Linked DNA regions of Rhinolophus ferrumequinum. The protein of the gene in region 1 interacts with the protein of each later gene in a pairwise test. Links are inferred from orthologs where the notes say so. Each region holds a gene or a part of one and is shown on either strand. Other genes may lie near its edges. The genes, in order: glutathione S-transferase A4 and C13H2orf50.

Region 1 (16,166 bases):
GGGAGAAGAAAGGGATGGAGTAGGGCTGTTTCCTTGGATGGAAGAAGGAACGGCTCCCTCCCTTCAGCTAGCGCTTATAGAACTACTGACCAAGAAGCAATTTTCTGGCAATTTCAACTATTAGTCCTTTGTCTGGTTTTAGGATACTGGTCTGAATGTTTAATGTCAGCTGCATCTTTACCCTTCCACCAAATTAAAAAAAAAAATCAGTTTTACCAGCAGTTGTCTCATTTCCATACTCACCATCCTGCAACTTCTGCAACTGTTCTTTTGTTTCTAAAAATTCTTCATCAAACTAAATTTTAAAAAAGATACCCCCCCCAGAAAAAGGTACATGTCATTACAGGATCAGGACTGCAAACGCCAATTTAAATTGCCTCAAAATACAAGAGAAAAAGGACACTTAGCACATCTTACCACATCTTTGTTTCTAAAGATCACTGCCCACTAAAAGAAACCAGGGCCCAAGGAAAAAAGGTTGATTCTGCTATGTCAGGAAGCAAGGAAGTACTCGAAGACTAATGAGAGATGTCAAAGGCAAGGCACTTACGACCCTACCTGAGGGGAATTCTCTAGGCAAATCCCGGACAATTCAAGCATCAAAAGTAATGTCAATTATGGATTATAATGCACACCAACAAAAAATTCCTGTGTCCATAAATGATGACACCATATAAAAGGGAGAAGGAAAAGCTCTTCTTAAAGCACAATTATCACCAACTAATGTAGAATTGTCGTTAATTAATGATAAAATTTTAAAAATCATCATCTGCAGCCTACAATGTAATAACTCATCCTGATAAGGATCATAATGGATGCTGAAATCATTGGGTTATAAGACACAGACTATTCACACAATCTCAAAGTATCACCCCACACGTTACTTCATTATGATAAAGGAAAAATCTATCTTTGCAATGGAGAGATCTGGAGATCTCACCATCTATCCAACCAAGTGGCCAAACTTAGCTCCCCGTTGGGGAACACTCCGAGATGTCATGTGGTTGCTGCTGAGACACAATAGGAAGGATACAGTAAGTAGCACTGTAAAAACATTACCAAAAACATTTAACTTGGATCTAACTGTGATGTGAGACTCAGGCACATCCAGAATGTTTGACATTCTGCAACATGTATGGCCTAGACTCTCAAAAGAGTCAAGAGCATAGAGAAAAGAAAAAAAAAAAGCGGGTACTGTTCTAGATAAAAAGAAACTAATAATCAAATGCCTGAATCTTGATTAGATCATGGATGGATGGTGGTAGTGCAGGGGGCAGTTATAACTGCTAAACAGATATATAACAATTAGATAGACATTTTGGGGACAATAGGATTGCAAATTAGATATTACACACTTAGTATTAGTTTTTAGTTGCGACAATGATATTGTGGTTATTAGAATAATTATTTATTCTTAGGAGGAAGATACCTGCTAATGTCTGCAACTTATTTTCAAAGGATTGGGGTGGGGGGAGAAGTAGAGAGAGGAAGGGAGAAAGCAAAGGTAGCAAACTGTTAACAACTGAATTTAGTTGAAAGGTATCCATTGTACTATTGCAATTTTTCTGTAGGTTTGAAAGTTTTCAAATTAAAAAGTTGGGGGGAAAAACAGTGAAAACAAGTTTCTCTTTTCCTGACATTATAAAATGTTCTAATGTTAACTTCATGTCAGGAAGAGGAGGCCTCCTCCCACCAAGTCCCTGGATGGTTCCCCACAGATACCTGTCCCTGGGCTGCTCCCCAAAATCATCCAAGGGAGGGGTGGAGCTGACCAGCACAGAATTGGCAGTCCTCCCCTCCTCCATCTTAACTATCTGACCGGGGGCGAGAATTGGGATATGGGCTGTAGGCTGGCTTTTGCTACTCACCAGGGTCCTCGTGGTCTGAGAAGAGGGGACTGAGTGCCCCTGGAGAAGCTCTATCTCGTGCTTAGGGCCAACAATATTTGGGGCATTTGTCCAAACACCCAGCTGGTCAGATGTGGTGCAGCGGTGCTCCCTCCACACTACTCCTCTCAAGCTTTTATCATCATGACCATTTAAAGCACATGGGAAAGTGTGGGGGATGGGGTAGGTCGGCTTCCAGGCCCACCCCAGGCCTCAGAGACTCATATTCAGGAGTTGGGAGAGACCAGAATTGTACATTAAAAAAACAACAACAAACAAACAAACCAAAAAAAAAACCCAAGTCCTTCCCAATGGTTCTGGTCCTGATTTTTTACTTTTGGGACATTATGCAAAATGTGTGCTCTCATTAGAGAAACTTTTTGTGTCAGGCTTTGTAAAACGATTGGTCAGTAAGAAGAAACTAGCACCAGAAGGGGAGATGAGAAGGTGGGACAAAAAGGGAAGGAAAAATATCACCAGACAGAGCTTGGAGGGAGCTTGGCAACCCCAGCCCAAGTACTGCCCAAGGCTGGAAGGGTAGAGACAGCGTCTGGGTTTCTATCTAACAAACACAGTCAGTTGTCTTTGTTTCCTAACTTTGGAGATCTGTCCTCTTCCACACCATAGCACTCCCCTTTTCAACACTCTTACAGTTTTTGTAAATGAATTATCCAGAAGTCCTGAATTAGGAGCTTGTGGCTATGAAGCCTTCTCTTTTACGTGTATTGATTTCCCTTTTAACAAGGGGGATGGATTTAACTGGATTTCTGCACCAGGGGTAGGGGGGTGGGGGGGTCTTCAGCAAATGGAGCCTCAGACAGCGAAGAAGCAAAATCCAGCACACACCAATGTCTAAGGATTTAAACGAAGTGACAGATGGAGGACAGTGACTCCCTGAATTAGGACCTGCTGCCTTTCAGCAGGTTCAGTTACCCAGTTACTCAGATGTGTGTGCTTTACATGGCAGGCTCAACCCAACACTGTGACAGTGGGAATCACAAACTCATCCAGTGGCTGCCAGCCCATCCCTCCTGATTGTTTCGGATCTATATGAGCACAGACTTAGCTAAAATTGTCTTTTGGCAAAGAAATGGGGCGGGGACCTCCCCCCCATACCACCTTTTGGGAATTGATCCTGTAAACCACTTGGTCAGCCCTAGTGAGGGAGGCCAACCAAGCTCCGGCCGCGCAGGTCCAAGGGGTGGGCCCCAAGTCCAATCTGGGCTAATTATTCTACCCAACCTGCCTGCTCACTGTAATTGGTTTAGGATAGGTGGACCACATGACTCATGTTCTTTTTCGTTTAACTTATTTATGGTTGGGTTTCCATCACTGTAACCAAGAATATTGACTCAAAGGGGAGTAGGAAGGACAGGGTAGAATGAAAATAGGGGAGATAAAGGATTATATTACATATACAAATAAGATAGCCACTGCAAAGCCTATTTAGAAAAACAACTTGTACACTCAGACACATAGAGGGGTAGACAGCTGACAGATCAGGCTCAGGTCGTGGGACCAAGAAATGGTTCACTCTCCGCTTAGCATAATTAGAAAATTTGTCCCGAGACAATAAGGAATGAAGGGTCTGTGTTGAATTAGAAAGACCCACCAATAGTGGCAGTCCTTATTCATATTCAGCAGTTGCGGCCATGTGGAAATGAGGGCCCAATATCATTAGATCTTCCAGTCTCTCAAGAGCACTCAGAAATCAGGGTTTGTATATAAAAATGGTATCAACTAATTTAGCAAAATCGGAAAACACGGTGTGGGGAATTATAATGGTATGCAAATAAACCCCAACCCAAGCCCAACTCAAACAAAAAACAAAACCCCAAACTCCGTAGCCCTCATTTGTCATCTTTGGAGGTTGTCAGGGTAACAATTCATTATTGAGAAAATTGATAAAGAGTCCAAATCAAGCATTTATCTTGCCTTTCCTATATGAGCTGCACTTCAAGGTAATTAAATAGTTAACAGGTGAAAACTTACTCTTATAAGAGAGTTACAGTTAATAAATTCAGGTGAAAGGATAAAACTAGAAAAATACCATTTTGTAATCCCTACCCATGGTGAGGATCAATAGCCGCTAAAACCACTAACTGAAAGGGTAATGGGGGAGATTTTCTAATGAGTGGATCAGGCTGACGTCACCAGAACACAGGGATCAAGCTCTGCATGACTGAGAACGAGACAGTCAGACATCACACACCCCTGATGGCGTACAACAGAAATATGTTCACAATATTCCTCTGTTGGAGCCTGGCAGGAAAAACAAAAATTAAAGATAGAGAAAAGGAGCATGGATTCGATCACACCTCTGGATCCAACTAGCTGTGTGTGAGGAAATATAGAGAAGAGAGGAACATGTTAAAATGAGGGTAAATCAGCCAAATATAGAATGGGGGAAATTCTACAGGGCAGTTTCTTCACCAGTAAATGTCACTAAAACAAATGCAGACACTCTACACCCAGGTCTTGGCTGTTAATACCATTTTCTAATAAAAGGGACCAGGGATCCTTGGAGAAATACCTGATTCTAGGGCCAGGACAAGGAAAATACAATATAAGATGAGCCTGGACCATCATATTGTGTCAGAAAGTAAGAAATTGATAGGTGATGGGAAAAGGATATGTGGAAAGGACACAAGAGCTAACCTGGAAGAGTGCCAATGGCCAAAGCTGGAACATTTTGAACAAGTAATTATTGAATTATAACCCACAGTAAAAAATAAATATGCTGAAGTCCATAGTGCTATAAATAAATGATTGAATATATAAATAAATTGGGGAGGTGGGGGAAAATCTCCCTTACATAAGAATTCTAAATGTAGATACTCCCCCCTCCAGGAAGTGAAGCTTAAATTCCCATCCTCCTGAGTGTGGAATAAACTTAACGATTTGCTTCCAAAGAATAAAAGGGAAAATGGTCATTTGACAAGAAGAAACCTAGCAGACATCACCGTAACCAAGCGACCAAGATTAACAGCCCCAGTGATAACTCACGTTAATAGCACGTAACCCCTCCTATGATGCAATGAGGATGCTTCACCTCTGTGCTGTTCTTCCCCCAAACCCCAAACTCTGGTCTAATCATGAGAAAAACATCAGACAAACCCAAACAGGAAGATTCTACAAAAAACCTGATCAACAGTTTTCAAAACTGTCAAGTTCATGAAATAAGCACTGAGAAACATTGAGAAACTGTCACAGATTGAGGAAGACTAAGAAAACAAACGACCTAATATATTGTTGGATCCTGGAACAATAAAAGTATGTTAGTGGAAAAACTAATTAAATTAGAATAGTCTGTAGTTTAGTCATGCACCAATGTTAATTTCTTAGTTGTGACATGGTTATATGAATTGTCATCATTAGGAGAGACTGAGTGATAGTTACATGGGAACACCTTACATTATGTAAGTTTTCCATAAACCTAAAATTATTCCCAAATATAAAGTTTATTTTTTTTAAATACAAAGGAAAATGTTATAGATTTTTTAAAAATACTGAAAGAAACATAACCAAATGCAGTGTGTGGGCCTGATTTAGATACAGACTGGAATAAACTAACTATAAAAAGACCAGTTTGAGACAATCAGACTGTTAGATGATAATAAGGAATTGTTAATTTTTTGTTGGATGTGATAATGGTATTGTGGTTATGTTTTAAAATCCTCATCTTTTAGAGATAAAAACTGAAGTACTCACAGATGAACCCATATGATGTTTGGATTTTTCATTAAAATACTCCCACAAAACAAGTGAAGATGGGTAGATACCGTAAATGAAACAAAATCAGCATAAAGTTAATGATTGTTGAAGCTGAGTGAAAGGTACATGGAATCCATGCCAATGTTTTCTCTACTTTTGTTCCTACTGGAACATTTCCATAAATATGAAGCTAAAAAAAACAGAACAAAAACAAAAACACTGGGCCAAAGTTATGCAGACCAGGACACATTAACAAAATTAACAAAAGTTCTGGGAGTAACTGGCAAATTTCAGGTTCATTTCTTTTCTCCTTATTAACAAATATTTGTTGGTGGCACATCAGAAGCCAATGATGAAGTGAAAGTCAGAAATAAAATGGAATTCCATCCACTACATTCCTTTTATAAAGGAAAAAACCCTTGAAAGGAAGGAATCCTCTGACTCAACGAAGCATGTCTGTTATGTTAGTGGGAGAGGACTAGATCAGGGCTCCGCCATTTGTGTTTTGCTCAGAGTCTCCAAGTTGTGCGGCAAATCTGTGAAGAAACAGCACATAGAGTACCTCGACTCCAGCGGCAGCTAAAACCCATCTTACGGTTTCCATCCGGCCTCTTCCGTTGGGATAGTGGAGCTTAGGCTTCTCTGACATGATGGCCTTTCAGGCTTTCTGAAAAAAACAAATGCAGCAGCTCCTCTTAATTTCGTGTCCTCGACCCAGGGCTCAGGGGCTAAATGAATATTCACGATTTGGGCACAGGAAACTGTTTTGTTTTTACTGCGTTTTCCCTCACTCCATAAAAACATACCACCATTTTAAAACATTAACAAACAAACAAACAAACCAAAAAACCTTGGTTTTCATATCGTTTCTATTTATGATTTCTTATTCCGTATCTTGGGAAGCAGGGGCCGTATGTTGTAAAGACATTTGTGCTTGGGTAGTAAGGTACTTCAAAGATTTAGATCATCATATACTTGACCTTAAAAATCTTAGATTTCTCAAATTCGACCTGGAGGGGCCAGGAATGGAGGGTCGCGGAGAATTTAATTATACACCCACTGGAACCTCTGCAAGTAGTCATACTTTCGTACGCAGCATCATATTAGATTATCACAGAAACTGGAAGGGGGAGAGGCCGAGGGTTACTATTGTCTGCAAAATGTGCGTCCATCGTCACGCCTGCGGTGGCAGCCCCGGGGTCCCGCACGTCCCCAGTCCCCGCTGGGAGATGAGCCCCGGGTCTTGCGAATGCGCCCAGGCCACAGACGCAGCCACCCGAGACTAGACTCGGGTGATCCGCGGCGTGAGCAGAGCTGCCTCCCGGCCCCGCCCACGGAGGATCCGAGCCGGCCTTCCATCAATGGAACAAACTCCGCAGAGACGGTTAATAAAAACACGCACACTGCCAAGAACGACCCCAGTCGCAGCCAAGGGGCCCACGTCTGCCCAGACGGAGGCGGAGGCGCAAAGGACAGGAGGGTGGGAGACAAGAGAAGGACTGAAGGGGGCGATGGTGGGGAATGGATGGTGGAGTAAGAGGCTGGGAGCCGGGGGAATAGAGGGAAGGAGAAACAAGAAGAAGGGAAAGAGCGGGTGGGGGCGGCAGGAGGGACACAAACCTGCAGTCCGCTAGGAGCTCAGGAGCCGCACAAAGCGCGCTGCAAGCAGCTGAGAGAAGAGACCAGCTAGTGACGAGGAGGCGGTACCGGTGGGCGCGGCTCCGGGAAGATTTCACCAATCGAGACAACAATGTTTAGCATGACCCACCCATCTGCAAGGCATTCTGGATAATATGAAAAAAGTTCACATTCAAGTCAGTTTTAACATTAATTTTAGCATTTTCAGGGAGAAAATGACTTTTGAAGTGATACTTAGGTTTGGACTTAGTTAGAATTCTTGTTAGAGATAGAACATAATTAAAAGAAGTCGACCTATGCGTAAAGACATAATTCTGTTTGGCTTTATATAGCTCGTATACAGTCTTAGTCCTTCGGATGTGAGGGCGATCTGGCTGCGACATCTGTCACCCCATTGATCGCCAGGGTTGATTCGGCTGATCTGGCTGGCTAGGCGGGTGTCCCCTTCCTCCCTCACCGATCCATGTGCGTCCCTCCCGAAGCTGCGCGCTCGGTCGAAGAGGACGACCTTCCCCGATAGAGGAGAGGACCGTCTTCTCGGTCAAGGGTATACGAGTAGCTGCGCTCCCCTGCTAGAACCTCCAAACAAGCTCTCAAGGTCCATTTGTAGGAGAACGTAGGGTAGTCAAGCTTCCAAGACTCCAGACACATCCAAATGAGGCGCTGCACGTGGCAGTCTGCCTTTCTTTTGACAAATGTAATTAAAATCTATGTAATTTTACTAACAATTGTCACCCCAATAAATTAAAGAAAAAGAAAATAAAACAGGCAAAGCTATATATAAGTTAAACATAACAATTTTTTTCTTTTTTTTGTGCATACATTTATTTTTAATTTCTCCTTTCTTCCCTGACGCCATGGATCATCTTGTTTTCCGATCATCTTGTACAGTTTAGACACAACTAAGATCTCAACGGGGCTAAAAAAGTAATTTGTCTAGTTAACAAGTTTAAACTGTAAAAAATGTTTTAAAACTGTCAAGATTATAGTATAGAATAGAATGCCAAATTCACATGAATTTTAAAGTTAAAAATGTTTTCAAAAGGACTTCAAACTTTTCGTTTTAGAGGCAGCTTCTGCTATTTCTCAGACTATAGATGTTGTTGATTATTGTTTTCACCCAAGAGGGGCTCTTGAGAGGACCTGGCTTGAGGAGCCTGTGGTGCTGAGTACTTGCAGCAATATGGTCAGATTTTATTTTCAATAGATTTCTCCGGCAGAAGTGTGCAGAATGAATTGGGACAGTGTGGGGTCGCAAAAGAGAGACCTATTAAATGTCCTTGTGAGTTAAAGTAGCATTGTGAGTTTGGAGAAGATGGGTAAGAAAAGATGATATTAAGGAAGTGGAAGGTAAAAGATTTACTAATCAGGCAGAAGGGTGCTGGGGAAGGGAGGAAGTGAAAAAGTCTAAAATGATGCCCCCCACACACACACTCATTTTCTTTTCCACCCTCGTCTATTTTTCGTAACATTTATTGTCATCTAACATACTTTATATTTTACTTTGTTGTCTGTGTAGATATGATAGAATGTAAATTCCACGTTAGGAATTTTCATATTTTTAACAATATACTTTTGTATATCCTACTCTTAGAATAATGCTTAGCATAGAGTAGGTATTCAGGGAATAAAATGGATGAATGATGCCTTGGTTTCTAGCTCCATAAAGCATAGTGGAGGACAAGTATTGGGGGAAATAATAATGAGATTTGTCTTTCATTCCTATGAGCCATCCAATTCGTAATGTCCAGTAGACAGTTGTATAAGCCAGTGATGAATCAGAAGAGAGGACTGAAATGGATCAAACTGGCAGCAAAAGGATGAGTTTATCCAGAGGAAGTATGTAAAGTAAGAAATGAAGCAAATCAAGAATAGATGGGCACCCCAAAAGTCAGAAAAGTCCCTTCAAAAGAAATGAAATATGTTCAATTTCATCTTCCTAATTCTGACCTAACACAAATATTACTCAGTTTAACGTAGGTAGGAAGTCCTATTTTCCAACCTTGCTGAAAGTGATCATTCTTTATTCATTTTTCCCAACCCATCTTTCTACAAAGATTCACTTTTATTGAACCAGATGAGACAAACATTATTATTCAACACTGTTAGTAAGCCAAAGCCTTATCTCCATTTTCTTATTTCTTATTGGCTGAACTGTATCAAATTACTGATATCCCACTATTTTTTCTAACCTACGAAAATGACAACTTCCTATGTCCACCCTAATAAATTGGAGTCACTTCATCCTAGCAATCTTGTTTACCTGAAAGAGAAACTAAGGCAGTATCCTAAGACTCTATTAATTACACAGCCTTGTGGAGAAATAAGAAGTCCTGTTATAATAATTCTGCCATCCTGACAGGTACCCTTCATTTTATTCCTTGGAAGCCCCAGAAATCATTCTATTTTTGGAGCCTCCTGGAGTCATTCTCAGTCTGGGACAGTCTTACTCATAATGTCTGCCTACCAATCTGATACATTTTCAGAGGACCTGGGAAGTCCTCTCTGCCTTTAAACCTTTGCCCACCCACTCAGTAGCACATAAAATTACCTCAACAAAAATCAAGAGCTTCAAATCTCAGTTTAAGAGAGGCTTGATATGTAAGTACTACAGGACGAGGGAAATAATTGGCTTAAATTCAGCCTTAGCTATAAATGACTGCAGTCAGACCCTCTTTTAACATCAGGTGTTTACAACAGGAAGGATGGTTGAGAGTTTGAAACTTTGGGGCTTCTGAAGGGGCACATATACCAAAAGATTAGATAAGTGCTGATGATTGCAGTCAGGTCAGGTCTAATGATGAGGGACTCATTTAGGGGTTCACCAATACAAGTTTGATTGATAAATTGTGTTCCTACAAAAATTCTGTCAAGGATTCAAAGAATGTTGGGAAATGAATTTCCTGTGGAATCCTATATGTAATTCATGAAGTTATGAGTTTCCTTTGAAGGTTTAGATTGTACACGAGTGTGTTGTGAAAACTTAAAACATAAGGTAGGCATTAATCATGATGAAATCAGCCAGAGAAAGTTTTGACCTGCATTTTTGTTTTTAATATCCTAGTCACCTCACTTACTAAAAGCTAAATTAAAAAAAACAAACAAACAAAAATTTATACATTGCAGGATAACTCTTTTCATACTGCTAAGTGTACACTTCTGCATTAAGGAGAAGTTACAAAGTATCAAAATTCCAAATTAGGAAATACTAATGTTATCTTTTTAACATTAAAAAGATAAGAACAGGAAGAACAGGAAAACAAAAACAGAACACAAATCTATTTTTCTTAAACCGTAACTTTATTTGGAGCAGAATTTTTGCAAATGTAGTTAACATTTTTAAACACCGGAGGGATGAACTATTCAAAAAACAACATTTTATTTCAGATGGGGCTTGCGTAAGTGATTTTCTGTCCTCCTATCTTCTCACCATTATGAATATTTGCTTTATAAATACTTATATTCTCAGTTACTCCCTTGTAATCAAATCTAGTGACTACACTGCAACCAGTGCTGAGATAGCTGAGATCAGAAAAACTGTTCAGGTCATGTTAAGTTCATATTAGCACCGTGTCTATAAGAAACTGATAATACAGATTAACGTGATAGTAGCCTCCAGTTTGTCTTTGTAATGGTTTCCATGAAAAGGTCCTCACAATAAATTATATAAAATACAGGACTTTGGTTGGAAATTGTAAAAATAATTCTAAAAATTAACCACATATATTAAACAAACACGTTGCTACAGTATGCTTTAAATAATATATAATAGTATGTCAAACGTTTTCTTATAAACATATTGCTTTTGGTCATGCTGAGTTGGAACATACAGCCTGCTTTCTTTTTCTCTCCTAAGTGGCACAAAACAATGGCTTGATGGAAGGGAAATGCTACTTTTTCCAGCATGAGAAAAGATGAGAAAAGATGGTGCCCATGAACTCCAACAGTACTGGTAGTTGTACTTAAAACAATTCTTGACAAAACAAGAATGGTTTTGTTTTACATGTGTTGCTTTGATTATATTCAATTTCTGATAACTCCAGAAGATGACAGAGCGTCAATTTATTAAGTGTATATAGTCCTTTTGGCAAGAGCTACGTCTAAAAAAATTGTCTGAAAATCAATTTTCTTCTTATTTAAATCCTACCATATGCGAGCTGGGTGAGGGCTTAGAAATTCATGTGATTTTTATTGTAAAATGAGCAATCACACCAACAGTGGTTTTTGTGCCCGTGCAGTTGCCTTGCAGTTTCCATGTATCCCCATCACTGAACCTTTGGGCACAGAATGAGAGCCATTCCTGTACCGTTTCCTGATGTCCCAGAAAGCTTTCTGATTGGAAATGAGGTATAGTCATGGAGGTACAATTAAACTCATCATTCATTGTGGTGTCTTGCAGTTCGTTTAATAATTCTACAGTAACTAAAAAATACATATGACAGGTAGCACTTTATTTTCACTTAACCAAAAATGGTCACTATTCCCTTCTATAGTAAACAGTTTGTATATACAAATTGTCCTTTACCCATTTCGGGGAGAAAAAACGAGTGCTTTATAGGATTTTGCTAGTTCTTTAGAATTTACATTGTTTATTTTTCAGTCTTCTAGGTTTCTCAACTGCACATCAGCTTCTTGACTTTCATATGAATAAACACGTTTAGCTTCCCTAGGGAAGTTGTTTGCTGATAAACAAAGGAAAACAAAAGAGAAAGAAAAGTGAAATATTTTCTGAATTTGGGCCCTATGAAAGTATTAGAAAAACCACTTTATATTGTGTAATAAGCAGGTAACCAGGTTTTTCAATTTTAAAACGTGTAATGATTTTAACATAAGCTAGAGTGTCAAGAATATGGTATTCACAATCCATATGCTTCTCTAAGGGGTATTTACAATTGAAACCCAGCTTTCCAGGCAAGCTGGGTAAAGGTACAGATTAACTTACGTTGTATACATAATACAGAAAGGGAAAATAAATATTAACCTCAGTAAAGGACTCATCTCTGAAAACACATTTTCTGTTGCTTTAGGTAATGAGTTGAGAATATAATACAGAAATGAATTCAGCTTCAAGTTGTGCTTACACATACATATTTATTTTCTGAAGCTCTGCTGCCAGTTTGTTAACGGGAAAATATTAACTATCAAACCCACATCCATTATGTGCTTTTCTCCTGCCCCTAGTGATCACAGCGCTTGGTCAAGTACATGTTTGAATCAGATTCTCCAAAACAGAAATTACTCCCTGCTTTAGGTTAGGGCTCTTATGGTAATTGTTTCGGGCTACAATGTATTAATAGGACATCGAAGTAATAATTTGCCAACTTGGTAATGGTAAGTGGAACCACATCAAAGTGCCCATATTCATTTTAACCTACGAAAATGTCAATTTCATATGATTCAACTACCTATATCCTGGAACCGGGAACCAAATGAGAGTAGCTTGAGCCCTGGGAGAATGAGTCAACACACTATTGAAATTATATCATGTTCTCTGCTGGTGACCTTTCCTCTTGCCTTTCAGGTAACCATGAGTGGAGGCACATGTGCCCTACAGAGGTGGATGAGAGTGGACCTTTTGTCTTTTTCTGTCTCCAAACTGGCTTTGTCATTTTCAAAACTGCTGTAAACATTCCTCTCAATGGAACAGCCGTGGCCAACAAATAGAGTTCTCACTGTTGAAAGAAACTACACAAGGGTTAAGAGTTTAAATGTGGCACACTATGACACTAACCTCATGCTAACTTTGACTTCCTGGGTAAGTGGAACTTCTGCCATAAATCTTTTCTGCTCCCCAAACTGCCCTGAGATTTTGGCTGTGACAGAAGATTATTCACTGTCTGTTCCTCGCCTGGACAACTGAGCTGAATGTAAATTCTATCAGTTATTATGATAAAAAAAAAAATCTGCTGCTTTGAAACTTCACTTTTTGGTCACGCATTTTGGCAGGGATATCAGTTTAATTGACTATATGAACCTTCATGCGGAGACTTTTGTGGCTTGAAAAGCTTCCCTTTTCTGAGTCCTTATACAATCTGATTTCAAATATGGAAGAAATAGAATGCAATGGCATAGCATGATGAAGCCTGGTTTCATTTGGATAGCTCCAACCATGATGAAGGATGTTGTAAAATTTCAAAAATTATTTACTTAGAGTTCTGTCACCTGGGGAACAAAAACTAAACAAAGTGAATTACATAACAGTACTTCTAGAATGGCACAATGGTATCAAAAAAATCAAACCAATAACGTGACATTGAGAAATGTCACGAAAGTCCAAGAAAGCCCAAGGTGCTTAATGCGCCACATTTAAAATTTAACCACTTCACAAATATCCGCACACACAGAGTAAATAACCCTTTATCATGTAGCCTTAAATTGCACCCCTGTTGCAATACTGCGTCAATATTATTACATTTTTAAAAATCTGTATAAAATATTATCTGGAACCCCGAAAGAAAATCAATTAATCTTTAAAAAGTTTGTTACAAAGTTGACTGTATAAAATGCTAAAACATAATCCATATATACAAAATGCTGCAGTTTAAGAAAATAATGGGACCCAGTTTTAGAATAAAATAATTTTGTACAAAAACAGGGTATTACATTCAAACCAATATTTTGAAAAAAAAACTTTAAAAAAGAATATTGAAATGTCTTAGATCAGAAGAATAACTATAAAGTGTTTGCTTTCACACCATCCGAAAGTGTCTCACAGGTAGAACACCAGCTGGCTGGGGGACACAAAGGGCTTCATGACCATCACCGCCGAGATGCGTACTTAGCAGCCCAGTCTGTCCGGCCGTGCACTGGCTGGGCGGCTGGAGGCCGTGGGATCAACCCAGGAGTGCTTCTCGGCTGGGTGTGGAAAAAAGGTCGCCCAGGGTGAGGTCTCACAGCCTTCAGGGAAGAATAACCTGCCAGGAAAGAGAAAGGTGGGCCTGATTGGTAGGGGATCCATGAAAACAAAGTACAGATAAATGTATCTTGGTGACAAAAACATCAGACAAGGAGAGTTCAAGAGGAGCATTTGGTCAGGCCAAAAACACTGGTGTCCTTCCTGACGGACTCCTCTTTTTCTCATATCCCACTTGTAATTTGTCAGCAGATCTTATTGGCTCTACCTTCCCAATATAGCCCAACTCCGCTATTACCACCCAGCCCAGACCCGCACCCGTCCTCGCTTGGATAACTGCAACAGCCTCCCTATTGGTTTCCCTGCTTCCAACCTCCTCACCCCTTTCAGTCTGGTGACAACCAGCACTTGAGCGAACCTGGAAGATGAAGTCAGATCACTTACTCTTCTGCTCAAAACCCTCCCGTAGTTCTCATGTCTCTCAGTCAATGACAACTTGCTTTCGGGGGTCTGCAGGGTACATGCCATCAGGCCCCCATCACCTCTCTGACCTCCTCTTCCTACTCCCCTCCTCCCACTCCCACCACGCTTGCACTTCGTTGAATACGCCAAGCCCGTCCTGTCTCGAAGCCCACGCACTTCAGAATCCCAGCCTGGAACAGTCTGGGCCACACTGCACGGCTCGCTTATTCACCTCCTCCAGATCTTTACTCAGTGTCTCCTTTCCAGCGAGCACTTCGCTGGCCACCCTGTCTAACATTGACCAGTCTACATGCCACACACCAACCCTCATATTCCCTACTTCCTGCCAGCTTGAGTTTTCTCCTTAGCTCTTATGCACATCTTATTTGGTTTATTTATTGTCTGTAAGGTATAAGTTCCACAAGGGACAGGGAGTTTGGTCTGTCTCCTTCACTGGTGGATCCTAGGTCCACATGCCCACAACCACAAAGCAGTTAGGTGTTCAGTAACTATTGATTGAATCAACTCGTGAATAGTCCGAAATTAAACTTACCAGGGGAAGGGTCTGGAATAGGTGCCAAGTGTACCCTCTGCATAGCAGAATCAAGTTCTTTTTTCAGCAAGGAAGAGATATAGCTTCCAGCCAGCCCACTAGAACTTGTAGAGCCGGAACCAACTGATTTGCAAAAGCAAAAGCTCATTAGTACAAAGTCATGCGCACATGACACCAACAGGCGTAAAGGACAGTGGCGCAGAACAATAAAGAATTAGGTCTTTATTTTTAGGCGGGGAAAGCATTAGGATAAAAGCAGTGAATTCTGAGCACAGCATTCCACAACACCACTCTATCAGAAAGACGGGGGGGGGGGGTGCAGAACAGGGAGGGGGGTGGGGGACAAACGCAGTGTTGCTCCTGTAGCCCACACCCAAATGGAGGATGGTTGGTTTAAGAAAAGGGAAATCTGGAATTGTCTCTCTTTTAGTATAATTGGTTTAGCTTGTTCTGAAATTTGCTTTTTCCACTTGATAATAGAGAATAGTTATCCTTCCATGTCAGCCTAGACAAACTCTAGACTATGGCTACAACTGAATTCATCGAACTATTCTTTTGTTGATCAGCACACAGGTTACCCTACTTATTTTGCTATTACAAGTTCATTCTACACTAAATATTCTTGTCCGCAACCAGAAAAATTGACCCCTGTTAAAATAGCTTAAATACATTCACCTTTTATGGCATCTCCATCTCGAGAGTACTTTAAGGGCTGGTACTGTATGCTACTCAGCGTAGCATTGTAGGAAGTTAACGGAATGCCTTACATATGGCAAGTAATCAACATATACTGGATGGGTGAAGGAATCGCTCTAGAAGCCTTATTATTCAGGCTTAGAACGACACAGGGAATGACGAAGAATGTTACGATGGCCATTACACAAATGGAAGTCATAGCCATGAAGAAGAGAGTGACTCAGCGGCAGAGCTGCTCTGTGTCCTCACAACACAGAGCCTTCCTGGCAATCACTTGAAGTTGAGAGGTAACGGTGGTCTGGAATGCACATGTGAGGAGCTGTTGGTCAGCTGGAGCACATTTTGCATTTTGGGTGACTAGACA
Region 2 (16,363 bases), on another chromosome or scaffold:
TTTCATGACTAGAGAATGGTGTTTAGAAACAAAGACCTGGGACTAACTGTACTTGTTGTTCCTGAGGTGCCATTACTTGTGGCCTCTCAGGAGACAGAGCTTGGATACGTGTGTCTGTGTATGCATGTGTGTGTAGTATTAGTCAGCTCGGGCTGCCTTAACAAAACACCACAAACTGTTCAAATTAATTTTCTCACAGTTCTGGAGGCTGGAAGTCCAAGGTGCCCGCGGTTGGTTTCTGGCGAGACCTGTCCTTGGCTTGCTGATGGCCGTCTCCTCACTCTGTCCACACGTGGCTGCTTCTCTGTGCACATCCTGTCTCTCTCTCTCTCTCTCTTCTTATAAGGGCACGAGTCCTGTTGGATTAGGGCCCCACCCTTATGACCTCATTTAGCTTTAATTACCTCTTTAAAGGCTCTGTCCTCATATACAGTCACCTTGGGGGTTAGGACTTTAGCATATGAATCTGAGGAGGACCTAATTCAGTCATATATATATATATGTACGCACACATACTCTGTATATACTCACATACATTACACATGTAAGACAATCACACACACACATGCTGAACCAGACTCTTCCTTTTACCAACCCCCCAAATTTGCATGCACGCCAAGCTGAGAAGCATGACTGCATTCCTTATGGGACCCCTTCGTCAATACCGAGTCTCTTGGCCAAACTTTTGCCATGTACATAATGGACCACAGTGAGTTTGAAATGCTGCTCCTAACATCGATCTAAAATGCAGCTAATCTTCAAAGACAGCCAAATGGCTAAGTGCAGGAGTGTCTTTACTGTTGGCTGCTCTGAAGATTCCGTTGCATCATCTTATAAAAATTGAGTGGCCTTAAGAGCAGGCCACCCCACTTTCACCACAGCCCTTGGGAATGTAAGAGTCCACACTACTCTTCTTTGGGTCTCAGATGTCCATGCCTGGGAGGGAGCTCGCTATGGTAAATTCAAAATGAGTCCTGAGTAGGCCACCCAGACATGGCCTCCCGGAGACAATGGAATGTTCCGGAATGTATACAAGAAGAGTGTATTGGTGAGGGTTTGATTACAGACCACGGAATCTTCTTCTTTAGTTAGCTTCATTATTATTACCAGACATTAGGCTGAATCACCAGAAGGATGAGGAAGCAGATTTTAGGAAACATCTCCAAGGAACAACTTCCAGAACCTCACTGAACAATTGCCCTGGGAGGGAGCTGCTGTTGCCACCTCCACCACTGTTGTCATCGCCAGGAAAGCCTCCCATGCAGGAAGCTGCCACCACCTCTGCCCAGCTGGGGACTGACAGACACAGCAGCCAGGCCCAGCTGTCCCAGAAAGTCCCACCACTGCGTCCTCAGTGCTCCAAGAAGGACCCTGGCGTTTCTCCTTCTGCCTCATGAGTCTCCTGGGGGTGCCCCTGCTTGGCAGGAACTAAGCAGAGAAGTGCGACCGCAGGGGTGTCTGCCACATCCAGCCTCACTGTTGGCCGACTGTCACAGCTCTGGCTTCACGTTGCCGTGCCCTCAGCATGGGGCACAGAGACCATTGGGCATTGCAACTAGGACCTGGGATGCTTTGGTCAGAAGATATGATTTCTGTTTGTTATTCCTTACGGGATAGTAAGGAGCGGTGGGAAATGTGGAGGGAAAATCCAGTCTAACGGGTTGTTCTGATATGTTTGGGTGTCAAAGCTGGAGGTGGAGGGCTCAGGCCACCGCAGGGTCTGTGTGAGTTTGCTCTGAAGTCTCTGACAGCACAGCCCTGGTTTCCCACCGCTCTGTCCTTGGAGCTCCATGGGCTCTGTCACTCAGACCAGACAGCAGGGCTCCCAGTGCTCAGAAGATGTGGGAGCAGGAGAGGGCCAGGGACCCTGAAGAAGAAAGGGTGTCTGAGCTACAGGGCTAAGGGCTGGCACTGAGGGCCAAGACTGCAGGAAGTCTGGCAAAGACTGCCAGGGAGCTGCTGGCTACCAGGTTGGCTGTCTGTGACGACGGAGGGCAAAGCGCGCTCTCCTGCCCTCCCTGGCCTCTCTCCCTGCCTCTCCCAACTCTGCTGCCAACACAAGGAATCAGCTGTTCTTGGCCGTGGACCTTTGTTCATGAGTTTTGGACTCTGTCCTGTAGTGTCTGAGGACAGGGAGAGGAAAGGGAGCACACGTGTTCCGGCATCAGGCAGGGAGGGGAAGACGGCTCTGAAGAGAAGGATGCATCAGGCAAGATGCCGGGAACACAAAAGAGGAGCATCTCTGAGTCTCAGGTAGGCTGAGGTGTGATTTCAGCTGTTATTTTCAAGGGAAATCTAGGCCGTTGACTGAATGTCCCTCCAGGGTTTCAGTAAACTCAGCTAGTTCTCAGATACCCCTGCTGTCACACATGCCATGGGAATCACGGTGGCCTCTGCCCGGGTTAGATTACGAATCAGTGGACAATTACTGCTCGTAGGAAAAGCAAAATAGGGAAGTGAAGAGCTCTCTGACAAGCAGCAAAAGCTTATCGATAACCGCAGTGACAGCTACAGAAGCATCCAGAATGTGCGATGCCTGCTGTGTGCCAGGTGTTTGACTTTCATGATGTCATTCCACGGATCTGTTGAAGCAAGGAGGCTGTTCCCAATTTGAGATCACCCTGGTTGGACGTTCCTGGTTCTGCTCCATGGCGGTGGCTCCCCCTTCTCTCTGCCTGTCTGGGCTGTTTGTCCTGGAGGTGGCCGCAGGAGCAGCCTTAGGAGAGAGCTGCTTCAGCCTGGGTCCCAGCCCCCCTCCTGTTGTGGGGACCGTAGCCAACTACTGCACTGTGTAAGAGCTGCAAACCTGTGTGATGCGGTACTCACTGCACGCTCAGAGGACGGAATCTGGAGCTGTGATGTCCTTGGAGTCTCCCCTCCCCAACTTTACAGCTGTGGACCATCGTCGCCTGGTGAGGGGAACGAGCACGGTGAGTCAGGTGTGAGATGGGATCCTGGATGCGGAGTGAACCCAGATACCAGGTTCCCAGGGGCGGCCGGCACCGCATCATCTCAGGTCCTCTCGGGTTGGAAATGCTGTGATGCTGCCTTTGCAGATGTAGGGGGCCACCGGCCAAGGAAAGTGGACAGCCTCTAGAAGCTGGAAAAGGTGAGGAAACAGGTGCTTTGAGCCTCCAGAGAAGAACACAGCCCTGCTGACACGTTGATTTTCGCCCAGTGTGACACATTTTGGATTTCGGATATCTAGAGCCCTAAGATAATGCATATGTGTTGTTTGAAATCACTCAGTTTGTGGTCATTTGTTACAGCAGCGATAGAAAACAAATACCCATTTTACAGATGGGAAATGGAGGCACAGAGGGTTCCCACAACCTGCCCAACATTGCACAGCTGCTGAGTCAGGAGCACAGTTCGAACCCAGGCAGTCAATATCCTGACCACAATGCAGGGCTCCCTCATGGGCCCCTCAGAGGGAATCCCCACCTTGCCGGGCAGGTTTCTTGAGTCCCCTAAACTCCTGGATAAAAATGAGCCAATGGAGCCCACTTAGAGGCTGTGTGGGGCGCAAGGAGAATAAACCCTGGCTGACACGTGTGGGACGCTGACTGGGGCCATGGTGCCAGGCCAGCTGCAGGCTTCCTGCTCCACTCACACACCCACCTGGGGCAGCCCTGAGAGCCCTCCTCCTCCTAGATGGGCTGCAGCTCATCTTCCAGCTTCTTCTTCCGGACTCCTTCCATGAAGAAGAAGTCCAGGCTGATGAGGGTTTTCCCCAGGGGCGTGTCCACCCTGCTGCCCACAACCTGGTTCGTGGAATTGGGGACAGTGTCAGAAAAGAAAGGCACGTGCTCCGGCAGCTTCTCAGGTTCCTTCTTATTGCCCTGAGGAGAGGGGACAGTTCATGTCACATGCTGCTTCACATACGGTGGCAGTGCCATAGATGTGGTTGGTTCTTTTCAGTGAAGTTTTACTTCAAGTCTAGCATACACACAGAAAAGTGCACAAATCATAACTGTACTCCATCACCTGTCGCACAGCGAGCCTGCCTGTGTAGCCTCTCTGCACCAGGAGCTAGAACTTGATCAGCCTCCACCCCGAACACCTCCACCCCCCAGGCGACCTGATTTCCACCTCTGACACCACAGGCTGTGGTTTGGCCTGGTTTTGAACTTTGTCTTAATGGGATCGTGCCTCCTCTGGCTGCTTTCTCTCATGGACATTGGCGAGATTCGTCCACGTTTGTGTGTGTGTTGCAGTGCACTCATTCTCCTTGCAACTTCTATGAATAAGCTGCAGGTTATTTATCTAGTGACTTCTGTAACTGATGGATGAATCCGTCAGTAAATGTAGGGATTCAGAACAATCCGATGTGTGGGGCAAAATCCTCAGCCCTCCCTACCCCTGTTTATGGTTAACTTTGCTTCTTCGTGTGGAATAGAAGTGACAGGACCAGTTTGTAATGAGATCCTGGCTTTTACTTGGGAAAGTCCGTGCTGAGGTGGCCCCACAGCTGGGTGTGATGCAGGTTTCAGTGCTCAGGTTGCTACATCGCTCTTGGCAGGGAAGGACTCAGTAGGCTGGACGAAGCCCGGACCAGGAGCTCAGTGTAGGATTTCAGGTCCCACGAACTAAATTTTCTATCTGGGGGAAGACAGCAATCCAGCAAGGCCAGAATGAAGACGTGACACCTTCCCTAAACCACACAATGTTGGTGTCAGCGTGGCCACCACCACCTTGGTTGACTCACTACCCTGCTCATTTTCCAGGTGGTTCTGTGACCATTGTTCTTAGGGCCGGATTCATTGTCCCATTTGCTCATTCATCCAACACAAACTGAGTGATATTTTACTGACCAGGTGCTTGGAGGTGGAGGTGCGGGGATGAAGTCACTGTTGTCCTTTCTCTTAGAGAGCCCACAACCAGGTGAAATCGATCATCGCAACATGACATGCTTTACCAAAGGAAAGGGTTACATATATGCTGGTGAGTAAAGTCAGAAGCACAGAGTGATCTGCTCAAGCCCACTCAAGACGGGGAAATTTCTCAGAAGGGGAGGCACCTGAGTGGGGACCTGAAGGACGAATAAGAGTCCATCAGGCTGACAAGGTGGGAAGGGCGTTTCAGGAGGGGAACAGCACGCACAAAGGCACGGATAAGAGTGTGGGTTGGTCAGTGTGGGGTGAGCAATGGAGGAGGGGTTAGATCACAAGATGTGTTGTAAACCAGGCTGAAAACTGCAGATTTACTGAAGGATTTTCAGCCGGGGAGAGAGATGATCAGTTTTGCAGTTTAGGAAAATTACTCAAGTAGGATTGATTAGAGGTGGTGCTACTAGAGGCAGGAATGAGTTTGCAAAGTATTTCTCCCAAACTCATTCTCCACAGGGGGCACCCCACACGTCACTCTGCACTGCGGTCCTCACCTGGGGGATAAAGTTCCAGCACGTACATCTTAACAAAGTCAAGAAACACTGGGAAGAAGTAATTTCTACATGCTCCACGTCAGTATTTTCTTTCCCACCAGACTCTAAGCTTCTTGGAACAAGACTATTTTATCTGTCTCTGTTCGCTCCAGCATCCATCACACGGTAGAGACAAATGTTAAATGAGTGAATACACATTCCAAGTGCAAGTATGTCTTACCATGAGGTCATGGTCTTTCAGGAAACTCCAATTTTGAGCCCTGGAAAGGAACACACGTTAGACACGTGAGTTCTTCCTGTGACATTTTCACAAATGGCTTTTCTGTGTCAAGTTAATAAGCTGATGCCACTAACACATTTATTCCATCATGGAGGAATTAACATCACTTTTAGGTGAAACGAATGCCATGTATCTACTGAGTGTTTATTTATGCTACATCGTATAAAATGAAGAAACATTTCAATAATCAGTGGCTTGTCCTAGAGTGGAAACTATAATGCTGGAGGGTAGAGCAGAGTCGGAAGGAGAGCAGTGATGCCCTGTCTCCATGTACCTCTGCTTCCTCAGCGGGCCACTGTGGGGATCCCCAAGTAGCGTGTGAGGGCCAGTTCTCACTTCCTCAAACCTTGGTAAAAAAGAAGAAGGTGGGGAGGTTTAGGACTAACAGGGAGCGACAGTGAGGAAACTGGCATTACTGGCACTGGTAATTTCATTTTTATTTTAATCTGTTTGTGTGAAAAGTCAAACAATTGTATAACGCTCATAATAAACATAGCCTCTGCCCCAGACCCCATGGCCTAGAGTCTCCAGTCTTTTAGCTGTTTCTCTACTTGCTTATTGCTACTCGGTCCTGAGAAGGAAGGCTCCATGGAGCTGGGATCAGGCATGTTTTGTCCCCTTTGCAGCCCCACAGAGCGGCTCTTCTGGGACTTTTTGGATTGAGTGAATGAAGGACTGCTGTCCCAGCTTCCTGGTCGCCCCCCTGCAGTCTGTGCTGGGATTCCAGAATGAACCGGGAGGGCTGCACTGCCCCTTACCGGAGCCCTGCCTCTCTCCCTCCCACTCTCTAAGTGTCTGGCCCAGGCTGGGCTCTCTCACCTCCCCTCCCCCGCTCCCCACCTCAGTGCTCTCTGCCCTTTGGCTCCAGCACTTTCCCATCAATGCACTTTGCCTGGCTTCCCTCTCACCCTCAGGTTTCTCTTTCTCCAGAAGCTTCCTAGACCCTGAGTCAGACTGGAGGGCAGGGGAAGAGGGCAGGCAGGGCAGGGCACTCACCAGCGCTGCTGGCTCCGCCTCTCGGCCTCCAGGAGTTCTCTCCACAGCTGGTCCTGCTGCACACCATCAGCCCCCAGGGCCAGGCCGCGAGCGCGTCCCCTGGCCACCATGGGGCCACCCCGGGCAGTAGGGGAGACTAAGGTTGGTGGCCTGGTGGAGGGCAGTCGGTACCCAGCTGATGTGGTTTTCTGGAGCCCAGAGGTGGAGTGGCCCTCCATGGAGACGTGTGTGTGTGTGTGTGTGTGTGTGTGTGTGTGTGTGTGTGTGAGCTCAGACCTCTCCCAGGATAACCCTCCCTCCTAACCCCAGGAGAGCCCGTGCAGGGGTCCTCCTCACTGCCCCGCTGGACCCTGAGCTCAGCGTGGCCTATGAGGATCAGGCCTTCCAGGATGGGAGAGTAATCGAGCCCAGTTGAGTTTCAAGCTCCTACTTGTGTTGACTGTTGCCCTGGGAACAGGGCAGCTCCCCACTGTGCCCAGGAAGGCGGGAGCTGCGGTGTATGTGTGTGCCTTGGTCTGGCACATCTGAGCCCCAGGGTGAGGGTGGGGTGGAGAAAGTTCCTGGGTCTGTGCCATGTCCAGCTCAGCTGCCCCACAGCTCTGCTCCCTGCACCCCTCGCTAGAGACTTCAATACAGCATGAGGGAGGGGAAGGGGGCCAAAGGCCTGACTTCTGGGGCAGGGAGGGAAGACCTGGCTCCCGGAGAGGACGTGGGGATTGGACTCAGTTTCTGTCATTGTAACCTGACCTTGGGCACGTGACCTTGGGCACCCTGTCCTTTTGGGCACGTGAAAGGGCAATAATAATCCTGATCCACCCCACTGCTACATGAGATGGTGGGAGTGCTTTCACATGATGCTTCTCTCTAGGGATGATAGAAGCAGTCCTAGTGTATGCCAGGTGAGGGAAAATCAGTGACACTGCATGATTAGTTAATCTGTTCTTTCTGTGTGAACCTGGATGGTTTACAAAGCACCACCCTTTCTCTTGCGGGACCCTCCCAACCATCCACAGCAAGAATTTCCAGTCCCATTCTATAGATGGAGAAACTGAGGCCCTCAGCAGCAAGAGTAAGTGACAGCTCAAGGTCACTCAGCTACTCACTGAAGCTTGGCCTAACTTTAGACGGTCTGAAGGACGCAATGAGGACCTGAGGGGAGGAGTCATGTTCAGAACCTGTGGCTGCTGCTGCTCTGACCCAGGCAGCCCGAGTTCGCTCTGCGGCCCCAGGCCGCTCCTGTACTGGCTCAGCTGACCTCCTCTGACACCCGCTCATGGCTTGTGCCCCAGCTGCCAGGTCTCTTGGCTTCTTGCGATGCACTGTTTGTGTTGGCAGATTCCAGCTCTTTCCATGAAAGTTTTCTGTGGCCAATCCAGCTGGACGTGGTACTTCTCTGCATAGCTGGGAAATAGACGCACAGAGGACACAGAGGTATGTACAAGGTGCCCTAGGGTGTGGGGACAAGTTCAGCCAACACACCCGAGCTCACACTGTGCTCCAGCCCTGGGTGCCTGTTCTGGATTCTGCTTTCATGTAAGAGGCACTAAGGAGTTGGGTCTTCACAGATGAAAAGGATTTGCCAGGTGGAGCAAAAGCTTGGATACAAGAGAGAGCCTGGTATTTGGGGGAAGTTGGGGGAAGAGGCAAAGCACTGAGGCTGGCGGCTGTGTGCACAACTGGAGACACTGCCGGCTGTAAGCCCACAGGACATTGCAGGGTAAAGAAGCACCTGGCAGGGGACAAGACGCAGGAGAGAGGACTGTGGCCATGTTCCATGTAGAGGAAGTGGTATAGCCCACACTGGGCTTGGGCAAATGGCTGGGCTGGAGGACCGTGGGTGAGCGCCACCGGGCCACAAAGAGCTGTCAGCTAGGAGGAAGGGGCTGAGGGAGTGTGGCCTCCTGGACATTAGCCTAAGAGCAGAAGCTGTGGTGCTGGGACTCTGTCTGTCCTGTTCTTCCTCCCGGAGCTGGGCTGAGACAGGCTGGCGTTCAGTGACTGCAGTTTTCTCAGAAAAAATGAACTGTGCGGGACCCCTGGGGCCCAGGAGCAGGCTTTTCCGGTAGTCATTGTCTCTCTTTGGTGTCTGCGCCCCCAGCACAGCGAGGACAGTCCTGAGGGAAACTGCCCTGGCTGTGGAGTGGACACTCCATCAGTATCAGTGGGTCTGTCCATTTGTAAGGGTTCAGGGGTAATTGAAGAAGATTATCTGGAAGCTTGGTTGCTTACACATCTGGAATCAAGGTGTCAGCAGGCCAGGCTTCCTGTGAAACCTGGAGGACAGGACTTCTTTGTCTCTTCCCGGCTCTGGTGGCTGCTGGGCAATGCGGCACCCCTCGGACTGTGACCGCCCACACCACTCTCTGCCTTCACCACCACATGGCCTCCGTCTGTGTGTCTCTGTCTTCACACGGCCGTCTTTTTATAAGGACACCGGTAGGGCCCATCTTACTCCAGTGTGACCTCATCTGAACTAATTACATCTGCAAGGACTCTTTCCACATGAGGCCACACTCCGGGGTATTAGGGGTTAGGACTTCACCATATGGGGTGAGGGTGGAATGATTCAACTCATGACAGATTATATGGATTCAGACTTCTTCTGGGATATACTGTGGATAAAACTATCTCGTATTCAGCCCCTACTGTGTGCCACGCATTTTACGAATGTTATCCTCAACCATTATTTCATTTCATTAAATGAATAGTGTTAGCTCCGTTTTATGGATGAGCGAACAAAAGCTTCAAGAGGCTGAGAGTCTCGTCCAAGGCCATAGGCAACAACTGCAGGGCCTGGCAGTGGAACCCACTCAGGCCTCCCGTCGGGGGCCCGTGCTTTCTGCCAACAGCGGGGCTGTGGCGTGGCTGCTAACAATTAACTACTCCCCATTGGTTCCCCAGGAGCCTCCTGGATAATTTTCAGCAATTAGCCTCCACGTTTTCAATACCAATCTAGCCTCTGGGAGGTAATGTAAGTCTTCCCTAATAGATAACTACAACTACATTAAAAATAGCAGTCGTATCACTCTTCAGGTTTGAGAGTGTGCTCACGTACATTTCTTGTTGAAGTATGACAGCCTTGGGGGGGCTGGTCCTATCTGGATTTAGGTGCAGAACCTGGGGGCTCAGGAAAACCACAACCCTCACTGATCCCACGGGCAGGACATGCGGTGCCAGAACCCAAGCCCTGCTGCCTGCCATTCCTTGTCTCTTAGACTATTATCTGAAGAGGACAAGCATCCCACGTAAACAGTTTTACTTCAGCTACCTACATTATACACTCACTGGTTTATATTCTGAAGGCTCTGGATTTCTGGGAGGTGGGGACACTTTAAGTATTGGGAAAAAATGTTCTGATGCATCATTTTTATTTTTTCTGTAGCGAAATGCATTTTAGGAAAAAGTAGAAGTGAATTGGGAATGGTCGCAACACACGTCCTGGGCAGCAGGGGGCAGACTGTAGCTTTGCATCTTCCATCCAGTCGGAAATCAGCAGTTACGGCTCCATCTCAAAGCATCCGAAAGGAGCCAGGCGCTATGGCCATTTCGGATTTAAGGCAGAAAATGAGTGTCACGTTGGGAGAAGGTGTCCATGAAGGAACACAGCAGGGCCTGGTGGAAACAGGCGCTAGGCAAAAAGTCCTTAGGTGGCGGTGGATCTGGGCAGCGTGACATACTTTAAACATTAGGCAGCAGGTGAGGCTGAGCCCTGCCAGGCTGAGCTGGCCCAGATGGTTGTGGCAGCGGCTGGTGGTCTCCTAGGTGGTCTCTGACTGAGGCTGTGCTGGCCACGGAGCTCGAGTTGCTGGGGGCATTCAGGGAGAATCAGCCTTTGGTGGCAGCATAGGGTGCTGGGTGGGTGGCGGAGGGCGGAGCCTGGGAGGGCTTCACGGGGCAGAGGAGGTTGGTTTTGGGGCTGTAGCCGGCAGGGGGAGGTTCTGGTGTTCACACGGTTCAAGGCCAAAGGAAGGTGCCACCCTCTCTGACCAGCCCCGAAGGTGAGCACCTCCTTCCTCTGGTGCAGGAGCTCTCAGTTTGCATGTCCAAGGAGACCCTAGCCCATAGAGTTGTAACCCTGGCTGTTTGTCCCCTGTCCTTCTGTCTGTCTGGGGAGCCCCACACCTGGCCCATGGCCTGCCTGCCATGTGGGTTCTGGGCCAGGCAGGCAGGAGAAAGAGTAGGAGTCCCCCCAAACCGGGAGACCTCCGTTTGGTGCTGCCCTGTCTTGCTGGGGCAGGGGGTGACCATGGCGTCAGCCACCTGACCCTCAGGTGAGGCTGCAGTGGCAGGAGGAGGCCGGCCCGGAAGTGCTGTGACTGGCAGGTCTGACTGAAGTGCTTGGTGGTGTGGGTGCCCCGGATGATTTGGTTGCGACGGGGATAGATAGCTGCTTATAGCTGTGCACCCCGTGAGGGCCTGGGAGGGCAGGTGCTGCCTCCGCCTGGTGTGGGGCAGGCCAGGGCCGAGGGCTCAGCCTCCGTCAGGGATGTCCGCCATCTACATCCTCAGCTTCTCCTACTCGAAAGCCCGCACTCGCTGTCACAAAGCAGCACATGACAGTGTTTTCTTCAGTGGTCCCCTCCCTACAAGAGATTCCTACTGAAACGCATCACGATGCGATGCGTGACAATGAAATGAAACAACACAGGTGACAAAAGTACCCCACCTAGAGGCTGGCACCTGAAGAGCCTTTGATAAATGGCTCCTCACATTTAGGACAGTTGGCAAGAGCTTGCAAGGGTGGGTGGGGAGAAGGGTCGTTGCTTGGTGGTACGAGGGGCGCAAGCAGTTTCAGGTGTGGACAAGAGCTGGTAGCAATTCAGACTAGATGTGGAGACAGGATGGAAATTTCCACTATAACTCAAGGATCCCTCGGCCCAGGTATGGGGCAGGAGAAAGCTTCAGGAAGTCAGAGGGTGGGCTGGGGTGAAGCAGGCTGCCTGAGCGAGGTGGCATGTTGACATAACCCTCCACAACTCATGGAGAAGACGATCAGGCTCATTCAGATCGCCATGTCCCGCTTTGGGCAAACTGGGGATCCAAAGACCAGTGTCCTGCTGTGCTGGGTACCACCTCCGGGTACGACTGTTGGTACTTGAATGTTTTATGTAACCCTCACAACAACTGAAGGAGGTGGTGTGATGGTTAGTTCTATGTGTCATTGACTGGGCCGTGCGGTGCCCAGCCATTTGGTTACACATCGTCCCGGCTGTGTCTGGGGTGTCTCTGGGTGAGGTTCACATTTCACTTGGTGGACTGAGTAAAGCAAATGGCGCCCCCCCATGCAGGTGGGCCTTGGTCCGTCAGCTGAGGACCTGACTAGAACAGAAAGGTTGAGTAAGAGGGACCTCTTCCTGCCTGGGTGCTGAGCTGGCATGCTGGTCTTCTCCAACCTTTGGACTTGAGCTAAAGAATCGGCTCTTCTTGGGCCTGAGCATTGGGACTAGAACTTACCCCGTCGGCTCTCTGGGTGTGTGGCTCGCCAACCGTGGATCTTGGGACTCGTCAGCCTCCACACCTGTATGAGTCAGTTCCTTGTAACATCTCTGCATGCACACATCCTTTTGCTTCTGTTCACGGGAGAACACTGACGGATACAGGCGGGTTCTCATTGTCTCCATTTACAGGTGAGGAAACTTAAATCCGGAGGGGTTAGAGGGGCAGTGGGAACGCGGAGGCAGCACAGCACCCACTGGTCACCTGGTCTTGGCCATTGGGCTTGGATGTTCTCCAGGTCTGAACCCTGAGGAGCAGACGCCTGAGGGCCACAGAGAGCTCTCACCTCTGGCGTTGGGAAGGCGGGAAGGGCAGAAGGGAATCCCCCTCCTTGGTTTTCAGAGATGGACAGAGACAGGAGGTGGATGTCTGCGTTCTCAGGTCTGCAGGGTGGTGAGGCTGGGAGAGATGCATCCTGCGTGGCAAGTGACAGGACGCGGCCTTTGGGCACCTAAGTGTTCACCTGCTGGGTGAATTTGGGCTTTTGTCTCATTTGTCTTCATTCCGATTCATGAATGAAGAAGCAGAGGCCCAGGGAGCTTAACTGACTTGCCCGCGATCTCCAGGCTGGAAAGCCGTGCAGCTTGAGGTCCATCCCACAGCGTGTTCTAGGGCCCTCTTCTCACAGCTCTTTACTCCCTTTCCAAGTGGGAATCTTCTGTTCTTTTCTAATCAAGGGAGGGAGGGAAGACTTGTTAAAGCATAGTCTCTGACAGTGATTTGGAGGAGGAAGTAATATTTGAAGCAAATGGTAGGGGGTATACAAGAGTTAGCTTCAGGGCTGCAAAACCAAACTGGGAAGAAAAATATTTTGTTTACTGATGGAACTTTCACAATTTCCTGCTTATTATTTTGCCCATATTAGCCATGTTTTGATTACTGCAAAGGCCAACAGCTGCTTCAGATACGTTGGATCTACATACTGGTGGGGGATCTGTACACCAGGAAGGGGCCCCTGGAGACTCCACAACCCCAGCCTGGCCCTGCGGGAGCCCCTTAAAATGTCACAGTTGCACCACCCAGGAGGATGTTTGCTCCAGGTTATGAAGTCTAATGGCGTGATTGGATGATGGGCGCCTCCCTCATTAGAGTGCTCAGTGCCGACTGGGAAGGAGGATGTGTTTGCGTTTGCGTCTTGGGACGCATTCTCCTGGAAACAAGTGTCCTAGACTGGGGTGCCTCTTGCATTTTGCATTGGGGTGAAATTCACTTAGTGACTTTATGTGCGGAAAGTGGTAAAACACAGAGCCTAAGAGCAAGCACTTAGGGGTCCCACCTGGATGGGAGTATCTGCACCTGCCCTCACTGGCACTTCCCAGCGCCCCCATTGCAGACAGCTGTGCAGTACCTGTGAGAACACAAACTCCTCCATGCGGCAGGCTGGGGCTACGTCCCTGTTCCGCTGCCTTCACGGTTTCCTGTCTAAGTCTTATTCCCTCGGAAGGTGGTGGTAATAATAACAGTCACTGTAAAGGTTATGTCGAACATGAAATGTCACAAATTAGGTATAAAGCTCTTAGCGAACCGCCTGGCAGCTGGTAAGAATACGGCCGGCTACTAGTAGGATGAGTGTGTTGCAGTAGAGGTGTCGCCCCAAGCACATTCCTGCAGTTCTCAGTGCTGGGTTTGCTTGTCCTGCTACAGCAAGGGGGTGTGCTCCCCCTGAGGAACGGAAGGCCGTTTTGGAAAGCAGCCCGGTGACCGGCAACCCCTAAGAGAGAGTGTCAGTCATTTTTGCAGCTGCAGCAAGGTCTCACTGGGGTTTCTTTGTTTTTCTTTTTGTTCTGTTGGCATAATCGTGTCCTATTGGAAACCTTGTTTATCTCAGTGTGCCTGCCAGCAGGGCTAATTTTCGCTTTCTCGGTGATTATACAGATCTTAGCTATCAAAGCCTTGGGGCTCATTTAAACCAACACATGATCATTGTTCCCCATAGAAACCCAGATGGAACTTTCCCTCGGCCTCATGACTGCACCTGTGCACCAGCTCCGGGCTGGCCCCACCTTGCATCTTCCTGCTTGTTGCACCCTCATGTGGACTAGGCTCCTACGTCTCAGGTCTCAGCTCACAAATTATCCTTTTCATAACCCCCTAATAACGAGCTCCCCACCCAGCTCTCTGGCAGTCTCTGTCTCCTCACTCTATTTTTGTCTTAGCATTTATCACTCTTGTATTATTTTATTCCTTGTCTGTTTCCCTCACTAGAGGTAAAATACCACAGATGCATCTCCAGCTAGAACCTGGTGTGTAGTAGGTGCTCACTAAACACTTGTGGAAAGAAGGAGAGAGGCAGGAATAGCCTCACACAGGATCCTTTCCTGATTGAGCCGTAGGAATTCAAGGGCTTGGAGGGGAGTTTGAGGTCATGGCGTGGAGCATCCCCCGGGGGGGAACGGTTCCTTCTGCAGGCTCCTCAGCTTGCCTCCGCTGGACCATGTCCACTGCAGAGAGCTCGGTACCTTCTCCACTGGAAATGCCTTTCTTAGAGGTTCTGAGCTTCCCTTTTTGGTCTGCATTTTGCCTCCTTAGAACTGCCGAGAACAAGACTCATGATGGCCCTCCAAGTAGTTGGGGATGTCTCTCAGACCCCCAGTGAGTCCTCTTGTCTCCAAGACGAGCCCACAGTCCCCTTAGACATTCCTCCCATGACCTGGATTCCAGGGGCCTCAGCTTCAGCTGCGTATCAGAGATGAGGAAAAATTTCAGCAGTGTCCTTCAGGGCATCTTGTGATACCCCTGATATCATTTGTAATGGTCTTTGCAGATGTGCAGTTTTGGGGTGGGGAGAGGGTCTGTAGGTTTCATCAGCTTCTCAAAGGATCCTTTACCTCAGAGTGGTCCAGAAGCTTCCAAAAGCCCAGCTGTATTTAGACTTTCAGGCCAGGCCTGCTCTCCATGATGTGTGGCGGGTGTTTCTCTCGTTAATAATTACTCCCCACTCTAAGTTGCACTTTCTGTTTTAATGATGCACTTTCACCTTCAGCATTTCCCCGAATTCTCACAACGCTGTTTTTTCAGTGTGCTTAATTCTTTTTCTGTGTGAATGGGATAACAGGGTTCTGACAGGGTAGGTTTTGAGGCTGTGTTGTTCGATGTATGAGGTTCAAGAGTATTATAACTTTCTATCACCTTTCATCATTAGGTAATGAGTTTGACATCCTATAAAATACAGTCTTTTTTTCCTATAATAAAGCTAAACTCGTTTTCTTTTCGTAAATATTTGCCTGCTATTTCTTTCCCCATCCATTTATTTTAAGTGTGAGTCCTTATGTTTTGGGTGGATCTCTTAAACATATCAGGCTGTCCTAAATTTTTTAAAAAATCTAGTCTGACAACTTCTTTTTACTAGCAAGTTTAGTTCATTTGTATTTAATTATTGATATTTTGAATTTTTTTTTTACAATTTATTTCAGATATTCTGTTTGCTTTTAAAAATTTCCATTTCCTTTATTATTTTGAAATAAACACCATTTCTTTAGCTCTTTGAAAATTGCATTTTTCAGTGGTTGTCCTTAAAATTTTAACATATGTACTTTACTCAGTTTCTAACATTTTGCAATTTTTCTACCCTCCCAAACATTTTGTATAAAAAACAGAAATTTTAGAATGCTTTCACTATAATCACTCATCCAATTGGACATGGTATTTTTGACTAATGTTTTAGTTTTACCTTGTTTTATTACCCCTCAAGTTAATTATAACTTTTATTTAGCCACCGCTTGTTCAGCTTTCCTGGCATATTTACAACTTTCTTTGCTCATTTCAGTCCTTCCTTCTGGTTCAATTTTCTTCTTTTTGAAACATTTCCTCTACTGAAGATGTATTGGAAAATTCATTAGTTTCTGTTGGTCTGTATATATCTTTATTTTTTCATCATTCTCAAATTATCTTTTCACTAGGCATACAGTCCTCCTTCCACAGTAATTTTTTCTTAGAACTTCGGAAATAAATATTTCATTGTATTTTGGTATTCTGGTTTATGGTGGCTGTCCGCTTGACGCTCAGTGCTCTGAGGGGATTTGCCTTTTCTCTCGTGTTGCTTTTCAGATTTTGTCTTTGATCTTTTGTGGTTTTACTGTGGTGTGTTGAGATGTGACATCCTGCTTGAGACTGCGTTTCTGTGTCTGAGGATTCTTTCACTAACCTTTTGCATATGGACTGTCCTTCATTTCTTCTGCTTTTTCCTTCCAGAACCTATTGGATATACA

Evidence for each region.
Region 2: the proteins of glutathione S-transferase A4 (region 1) and C13H2orf50 interact in binary tests that used the Homo sapiens proteins (3 or more experiments, as listed by UniProt). The two-hybrid records come from large-scale screens. The link is inferred for Rhinolophus ferrumequinum from reciprocal best matches to the Homo sapiens genes GSTA4 and CIMIP5.

The regions. Positions count from the first base shown.
Region 1 is NC_046286.1:20,675,669-20,691,834, forward strand, and holds the start of glutathione S-transferase A4, read right to left. Parts: upstream 7,323-16,166; 5' UTR 7,221-7,322; intron 6,268-7,220; 5' UTR 6,250-6,267; coding exon 6,163-6,249; intron 296-6,162; coding exon 244-295; intron 1-243. Other genes in the region: CILK1 (serine/threonine-protein kinase ICK), read right to left, coding at 13,998-14,152, 15,107-15,229. UniProt on the Homo sapiens protein: Conjugation of reduced glutathione to a wide number of exogenous and endogenous hydrophobic electrophiles. This isozyme has a high catalytic efficiency with 4-hydroxyalkenals such as 4-hydroxynonenal (4-HNE).
Region 2 is NC_046296.1:64,957,884-64,974,246, forward strand, and holds C13H2orf50 (uncharacterized protein C2orf50 homolog), read right to left. Parts: upstream 7,075-16,363; 5' UTR 6,878-7,074; coding exon 6,660-6,877; intron 5,644-6,659; coding exon 5,604-5,643; intron 3,843-5,603; coding exon 3,651-3,842; 3' UTR 3,622-3,650; intron 3,101-3,621; 3' UTR 2,969-3,100; downstream 1-2,968.